2 linked regions of the Stegostoma tigrinum genome follow. The protein of the gene in region 2 purifies or fractionates together with the protein of the main gene of each other region. This does not show direct contact. Links are inferred from orthologs where the notes say so. Each region holds a gene or a part of one and is shown on either strand. Other genes may lie near its edges. The genes, in order: lamtor3 and slc38a9.

Region 1 (3,924 bases), about 120 Mb from region 2:
ATAAATGTCACCCATGTACCATCTTTAGGAATTACACATTAAAAATGAAGTTTCTTTAGAACAATAGCAGCAAGTGCGTTAGGAACAATAAGAAAAAAACTTTTACAATGAAGTCTTGAAGACCTAAAACTAAACAAAAGTTTGAACAACTTACTGAATCAGACACTGCTTTAGAATGTCAACTGACCAGCTCAAATCTTCAAAGACGCATTGACTGTTGCCACAGAAAATAACCTGGGCTAACTTGCATCAAATAGACATGTCTTATCTACCTCGTAACCGTACTGCTACCCTTTTAGATTGCAAAGTGCAGCTTCTGTTATGAGACCAACCCTCTAAGATTCTTGATTGATATACATTAGCTGCAAAACCAAGAATTAAGGTCAAGATGGTGACAGACTAGTCTTTCAACTGAGCTTATAAAGCAAGATTACCATAAATAAAATAGGACAGAGCCAGAGAACTAATCGTGGCCTGAGTTTGAAGGCAAACTCAGCAACTGCCACACAATGCCCCATTGTGTTTGTTTAACATTGATATCTACACGGCACATTCACCACACTTGATCATTGGTTTAGAGACATCTCCAAGCTGGCTTTCCAACAATAGTAACCCATCGGCACTTGCAGATGAAACAACGTCTAGCATATTACAACTTGAAGTGGGAGATAGTGAGGAAATTGCCAAATGCCACTTAACAGACATATGTTTGGAAGCAACTATCAATACTGTCGCAGGCTTACTGCGGTGTTCCAGCAAAGCTCAACACAAACTGGAAGAACACCACCCTATGGACTCTATATCAAATTCAACAATTTTAAGGTCTGAACTGGGTGGCATGGTGGCTCAGTGGTTAGCACTGCAGCCTCACAGCGCCAGGGACCCAGGTTCGATTCCAGCCTCAGATAACTGTCTGTGCGGAGTTTGCACGTTCTCCCCGTGTCTGCGTGGGTTTCCTCTGGGTGCTCCAGTTTCCTCCCACAGTCCAAAGACGTGCAGATTAGGTGGATTGGCCATGCTAAATTGCCCGTAGTGTTCAGGGGTGTGGGGGTTATAGGGGGATGAGTTTGGGTGGGATGCTCCAAAGGGCAGTGTAGACTTGTTGGGCCGAAGGGCCTGTTTCCACACTGTAGGGAATCTAATCTAAGAAAAAGAAGCTCTCCCAGGTCCTAGCCCCATAGCCTGCCATTACACACTACCTGTTGTTAGTCACGAACAGTCCCCATTAACAGCTATTCACCCTCCCAGCCTGACTGTTATCAACTCCTTTGTCTGTTCAACTGTTCTAGTGTCTTTGAGCTCTATCCCCAACTATCAAATGCTCCTTTCCACATACGCTGTTCTGCACATAAACCGACACTTTCCTAGCTACTATCAGTTCTGACGAAGGGTCACTGGGCCCAATGCGTTAACTCTGATTTCTCTCCACAGATGCTGCCAGGCCTGCTGAGGTTTTCCAGCAACTTCTGTTTTTGTTTCAGAGTTACAGCATCTGCAGTTCTTTTGCTATTTATTGATATTGAAAAGATATTTGCTATTCAACCAGAAATAATATTACAGACTTGTAGGAAAGAGGAGATTAGAAGATAAAAGGAAGAGTGAAAAATCTGCGATTAAGAAATATACAGTGTAATAGTAGAGGAATTACTGTGTATTTTGGACATAAAGTTACTAGTCTAAACTTATCTAAAGAAGAGAGTCAGAAATTGAAACAGATTGAAGAGGAGGAAGGGTTATTTTACATTCTCACCTAGGCAACTGTTTGTAAAGATATCTCTTCAAATCCTGTAGAAAAGACACACATTAGAAGAATGCAGTAAAAATGTAGAATTATACTGCACATTTTCAACTTGAATATGAATTGAAGTTCAAACCTTTAACTGCGCCAGTAACAGTTGGCAGTTAGAACTGCCATGAAGTTATTTTTAATTAATTGTTTAAAAATGTCAACTGCATCCAAATTTAATTCAAGCCAGTCTCAACTGGTTACAGTTATTTAACACTCACCTTCACGCATGAAGTATTCAACAGCAAGATCCTATATACACAAAATAATACCTTCCTCTTTCAAAGGCTGTGCTGAAAGGAGGCTAAGAGGAAAGACTCACACCCACATTAAACTTTCACATGTTCAATAAATAAATTTCAACCTCGCATTATGGGTATCAGGCCCAATAGTCGCATGCACACTGTAGAAAACTCTGCTCAAAGCAAGCTTAAATAGACCAACAGAAGATGACAGCCTAATATTTTAATTTTTGAATAATTAGGAAATAAAACAAGAGAACGTCTTGCTCATGGGATCCACAGATGCTATTCACTACATTTTTAGATGCAAACAGAACCTTGTCTACGAAACTGGCTGCATGACTTACTGTAGTATCATATTTACTGTACTAGTCAGCTTAATTATTAGAAGGCATTTTCCATATGCTGTTCAAACTTACTACAATATAGGTAGCCTAACAGTATACGCAATTTTTTCGTAATTAAGAAAGGATTACTTACATCTGCCATCTTTCTTTAAAATGTTGCAGAGAAAACTCAATTCTGAAACAAAACCATAAAACCTGTGTTAAACGGGGCTTTATCTTTTGATACTTACTAAAATAAGCAAAGGCATGCTCAATTTAATATGCTAATTAAACATGCTATAACAGAGCATGTGGAGTGAAGGAATGTAAAATTTTTAATATCAGAAAAATCGGAATATTTAGTTCTGAACAACAGAATATATTCTGCATCCAATGGTTTGATGTTGCTGCTGAATTTCCCACATGCTTCAGCCACCATATTCACCATTCAAATCCCTGCTTCCTGAACGCATTTTACTAAAGACACATACAACTAGGGGAGCTTTCACTTCATTTTGCACTAATACACTTTTCAGTCCTAAAGTTATTCAGCTAACAGAATGACAGTTTCAAAAGTGCTCCTGAGATGCTGCTTGGCCCGCTGTGCTCATCCAGCTCCACACTTTGTTATCTCAGATTCTCCAGCATCTGCAGTTCGCATTCTCTCTGATACAATTACTCCAAATAGTTTTCTAAAATCTACAATGTGCAACTGTATGAAAGTGACCAACTCCTAGGGCAACAAAGAATTTGCCGAGCATGCAATGTCCCTGGATATTGAAGAACAATCATACAGTACAGAAGAGGCCATTTGGCCCATCATGTCTGTCCTGCTAGAAATATACTACCTACACTTTCCTGCACAAGATCCATAACCTTAAAGTGTTTGACACTTCAAACTCCCATCTAATTTCTTTTTAAAAAGGTTGAGGCTTCCCACCTTAACTATCCTCTCAGGCAGTGCATTCTAGACACCCTTTGGGTGAAAAAGCTTTTCCTCAAATCCCCTCTGAACATCGAGCCTTACATGTTAAATTTATGCATCTCCCCACCCAGTTATTAACCCTTCAAATGAGGGGAACAGCTGCTTTCTACCCACTCTGTCCATGCTCCTTATAATCTTATACACCTCTATAATGTTTCCCCCAGCATTCCCCCCCCCGCAACTTTCTCTGCTCCAAAGGAAACAACCAGAGTTCATTTCGCCTCTCTTCACAGCTGAAGTGCTCCCTTCCAGGCAACATGCTGGTGCATCTCCTTTGTACCTGTTCTAGCATAAATACATCCTACGAGGTGACCAGAACTGCAGCTATGGCCTATCAAAAATTCTGAACAGCTCCAACTTGAACACCCCCCACTGTTATAATCTATGCCACCACTGATAAGAAAACGATAACATAAACTGCTTTTGAGAAATATGTTACCAAGCCATTGAATTCTTAAAATGATAAAACCCAAACACATTTTGTAAAAGAACCTCTTTCTCTTTCTCCATCAGAATAGAAATCCCCTGATCTGAAACTAATTTCTAAATTCTTATTCCTCAAGAGTTGCCTGACCTGAGGGTAAA
Region 2 (3,924 bases):
ATGTATTCAACCTGTCCCTTGCTTCCCTTTTGTTTTAAGAAAAACTGCACTGAAAAATCCTTCAATGTTACAGCAGCACACCTGCAACCAGCAAACACTGGAAACTAATGCTCAGACCTGGTGTTTTTCCCACAACTGACGATTTCTTCTAACAGCATGAAGAGCATTTAGTTTGCTCTCGATGATTTATCCACTTTCACATGTGCTAATTTCATTAATAAATCCTCTTTTCCCCATGTTGATCACATCCATCATTTCACACCTTAACTAAATTATCATCATCCCTTCTTTTCAAGATGGATGGAAAGCATTCGTTAAGATTCACCTTTCTGGCCTTTCATCAGCCCTACTCTTATCTCAATTATCCTCTCACAATGTACTAAGTGGACAGATTTGGATTTACAGAGATAATAGGAACTGCAGATGCTGGAGAATCCAAGATAACAAGGTGTGGAGCTGGATGAACACAGCAGGCCAAGCAGCATCTTCAGAGCAAGAAAGCTGACGTTTCAGGCCTAGTCCCTTCATCAGAAAACGATTTGGGTTTACCACTATTTTGATTTTCTTAACTGAAATTCTTGCATCTCGAAAACACCCGAGTCCTTTCCTATCACAGCAGTGCATTCAGATATCTGTATCCACAGTTCACCAGTTTCATTAACCACACTCTTTATGTTCACATATGGGCACTAAATGTGAAAATTCCATGTCACTATCTGTTCGGATTCTTCTTGCCTCACTTGCTCTATATGGTTCCTTTTTAGTCCTCTTGCGGTTTGTAAGGACTTTCTTCAACAGCCCCACAAGGACTCTTAGCTCCCAGGCCTGTTCAGATGCAACCTACCAAACCCGAAAAGGTCACATCATCTCCAAAGTAGGTTCCAATATCACAAGAATTTAAAGGCCTCCTTCTGCAGCATTTTCTCACCATATCCCACGTATCCTACCCATTTCTACTCCCCGATTACCACGATGGTGATGCCCACAAGAAACCTGGTTTGGTTTTAGGTGCCAAGTAGATCCACATCCCCACCCTTCACCCACTAAGAGCAAAAGAAAAGAGGAGCACTTCATTATTTCACACGTTGGTCATTCGCGGGGTGCCAAACAGAGCAGGCTTTAGGGAAGGCCTCTATAAACTCTACCACGCCGCTGGCCCACCACGAGGATCTGCGCCGGCCATGAACTGACACGTCGCTCCCGTCCACGAGTGGAATGGGGCCGGCCCTTCGTGAGCCTGATGGGTGTGACGGTCAGGCCAGGTGGGCTATCAGGTTCCCCAGGCGGTTGGGCATGTTCCACCTGAAAGTGAACCACGCTCACTTACTGGACCCTCGCCTCCGTTTGGCGCGGTTGGCACACTCACGTGGGGCCAACCACCCCCTAAACGACAGCCTACAATGTCACGTGATCACAGGTGCAGCGGCCTGAAGCACAGCTACGTGGCCATTGTGACGCAGGACGTAATGGAACCCGGGCCCGCGGTAGCGGCCACGAGACCCTCACCAAACGGAACCGCATCTTGCGGGAGATCACTAGAAGCGGTACGCAGAAAAAAACTTCCTACTTCCTCTTTCTATTACTTTTTCTTAAACCCCCAAAAAAACTTACGGGGGAAATTTGACAGGGCAAAACAAAACGATGGATGCGCCAACTATTCTGACGTAATTAAAAAGTAATGTTCGTTTCGTAATACTTAATTCGATGTTAATAATGCTCCACAACTTCATGCAAAGTGGTTTAAAATAGTTGTACTTACTTTAATATGTGAGTCCTAGAGAGTGTGTGTGTATGTGCGCTTGTAAGTCAAAGCACTAACGCAATAAAGTATGAAAGCAAAAATGCCCAAAACATGAAGTTTAAACTATCTAATTATCTTATGCCTTATGCAAATATTTCAGGCGAGACAAAACAACGTAGATAACAATCCCAAACGGCAACGTCAGATCAGTCATCAAAATACTAGCATAAGTGAAAAACTCTCCAAGATAGGCAGGATCAAGTATTTCGCTGAAAAGAACAAATAAACGATCATGCTTCCAGCAAAATCCCAATATTGTACGCATCAAAACAATCTGGTCTACAACTTACCTTCCCGTACAGCACAGTTTGAAATCACTCACAAATTTCCCCCTCTATAAACTGCCAATAAATACGAGCACCGCTTGGATGTTCTCACCTTTAAGTACAGGCTGAAAACAAACCGCACATTTCCGGTGGGTCCTAAACACTCCAGGCTTGTGAGGGAAAGCATGCGTTCCTGATCTAAATATTTACTTAAGAGGAACAGTCCCTTTTGAATAGAGTAATCGTCCTTTCTTGACATTATGCAAACACCATCGTTAACACTAGGTGGCACAGCAATAGTATTACAACATCGTATCAATAGTATTACAACATCGAACCATTACACTCAAAATTACAACATTTTTTGACAAAATATTGCATAAAATATGGAAAAGATGGAAATTAAAAAAACGAGCATTTCCACTGTCAGCACACCAACTTGAGCATGTTTTTGCTATATATTTATACAACATATACAAAATAATTGTTGAACGAAGATTTTATATTGGATTACAGTGGATTAGTGGTTAGCACTACCACCTCACAGCGCCAGAGAATTGCCTTCCATTCCATTCTGGGGTGACTGTAGAGTTTGTACGTTCAGTGTAAATCTATGGGTCCTTCATTATGCCCTTACACATTGGAAGGGTAAACTTCTGTAATGGTTTCATCCCAATGTCAATAACTCTTAGATGCTTGGGCTTGCAAATGGTCCAGCGCAAATTATTGTGCATGAATCACACACCATCAACCCCATACCATGTCCAGTAGCACTGCTGCCCTTTCTGATAAAATGGTTAAAGAATTACTAGAAAAAATCGTAACATAGATATTTGCAGATTTTACACCTTAATTGTATTTTCTATAGTTTTGTTTAACTTCAATACAAAGGCCTTCAGAAATTGCTCACACAGTAGCTTTTTACACATGTTTCAATATCTTATTTTGAGTCTGTCCTACTTGTGCCCAAACATGTGGAAACAGTTCTGCAGCATCTCTCTTTTGTATACCACATTCTCAAAAACTGTCAGTTGATAAATGAGAACTAAGATAGTGGTGAACTTTCAAGTATACTTACTCCGATCCATAACATTTGATTGCCTCCTTTTATGTCTTCCATTCCTCTAAATTTCTTCAATCCTCCTGGTTTGACAACTGTCATTTGACTATTTCCTTGGATAATCCTGCCGTTTCCCTAATTCCAACACTATTGTGATCCCTAGGGCGGCATGGTGGCTCAGTGGTTAGCCGGGTCTCAGGTTCGATTCCAGCCTCAGGCGACTGTCTGTGTGGAGTTTGCACATTCTCCCTGTGTCTGCGTGGGTTTCCTCCGGGTGCTCCGGTTTCCTCCCACAGTCCAAAGATGTGCAGGCTAGGTGGATCAGCCATGCTAAGTTGCCCGTAGTGTTCAGGGGTGTGTGGGTTACAGGGGGATGGGTCTGGGTGGGATGCCTCAAGGGGCAGTGTGGACTTGTTGGGCCGAAGGGCCTGTTTCCACACTGTAGGGAATCTAACCTAATCTACCCCAGATCGTCCTTACGATCTTCCTCATTAAGTATTACTCTAAATTCTCCCTGTCTAACATACCACTGTACCCCCCACCCTGTGCCCCTTCTCTGAATATTCCGCTTCCACTCTATTATACCCTTGTCTCTATGATGTATATTATGATTGTTCTGCACCCATGTCTGCTCTATCCATTACCCAGGATCCTTCCATTTCTTCTAACATCATTCACTTTAATTTCCATTCCTTACAAATCCTTTCTATGCAGCCTGTCAGTCCAATTTTTCTGTTAACCTTTTTTTAAATTAATCCCTGAATGAAACTGTTCCCCGTTTTAAATTAAACCTGGCT

What was found.
Region 1: the proteins of slc38a9 (region 2) and lamtor3 purify together in Homo sapiens (affinity purification with mass spectrometry; 3 studies listed by BioGRID and IntAct, with this or other methods). This does not show direct contact. The link is inferred for Stegostoma tigrinum from reciprocal best matches to the Homo sapiens genes SLC38A9 and LAMTOR3.

What each region holds. Positions count from the first base shown.
Region 1 is NC_081354.1:4,153,449-4,157,372, reverse strand, and holds the start of lamtor3 (ragulator complex protein LAMTOR3), read right to left. Parts: upstream 2,553-3,924; 5' UTR 2,518-2,552; coding exon 2,509-2,517; intron 1,786-2,508; coding exon 1,751-1,785; intron 1-1,750. UniProt on the Homo sapiens protein: As part of the Ragulator complex it is involved in amino acid sensing and activation of mTORC1, a signaling complex promoting cell growth in response to growth factors, energy levels, and amino acids.
Region 2 is NC_081354.1:125,217,236-125,221,159, forward strand, and holds the start of slc38a9 (neutral amino acid transporter 9), read left to right. Parts: upstream 1-1,419; 5' UTR 1,420-1,544; exon of another isoform or gene 1,545-1,554; intron 1,555-2,091; exon of another isoform or gene 2,092-2,313; intron 2,314-3,924.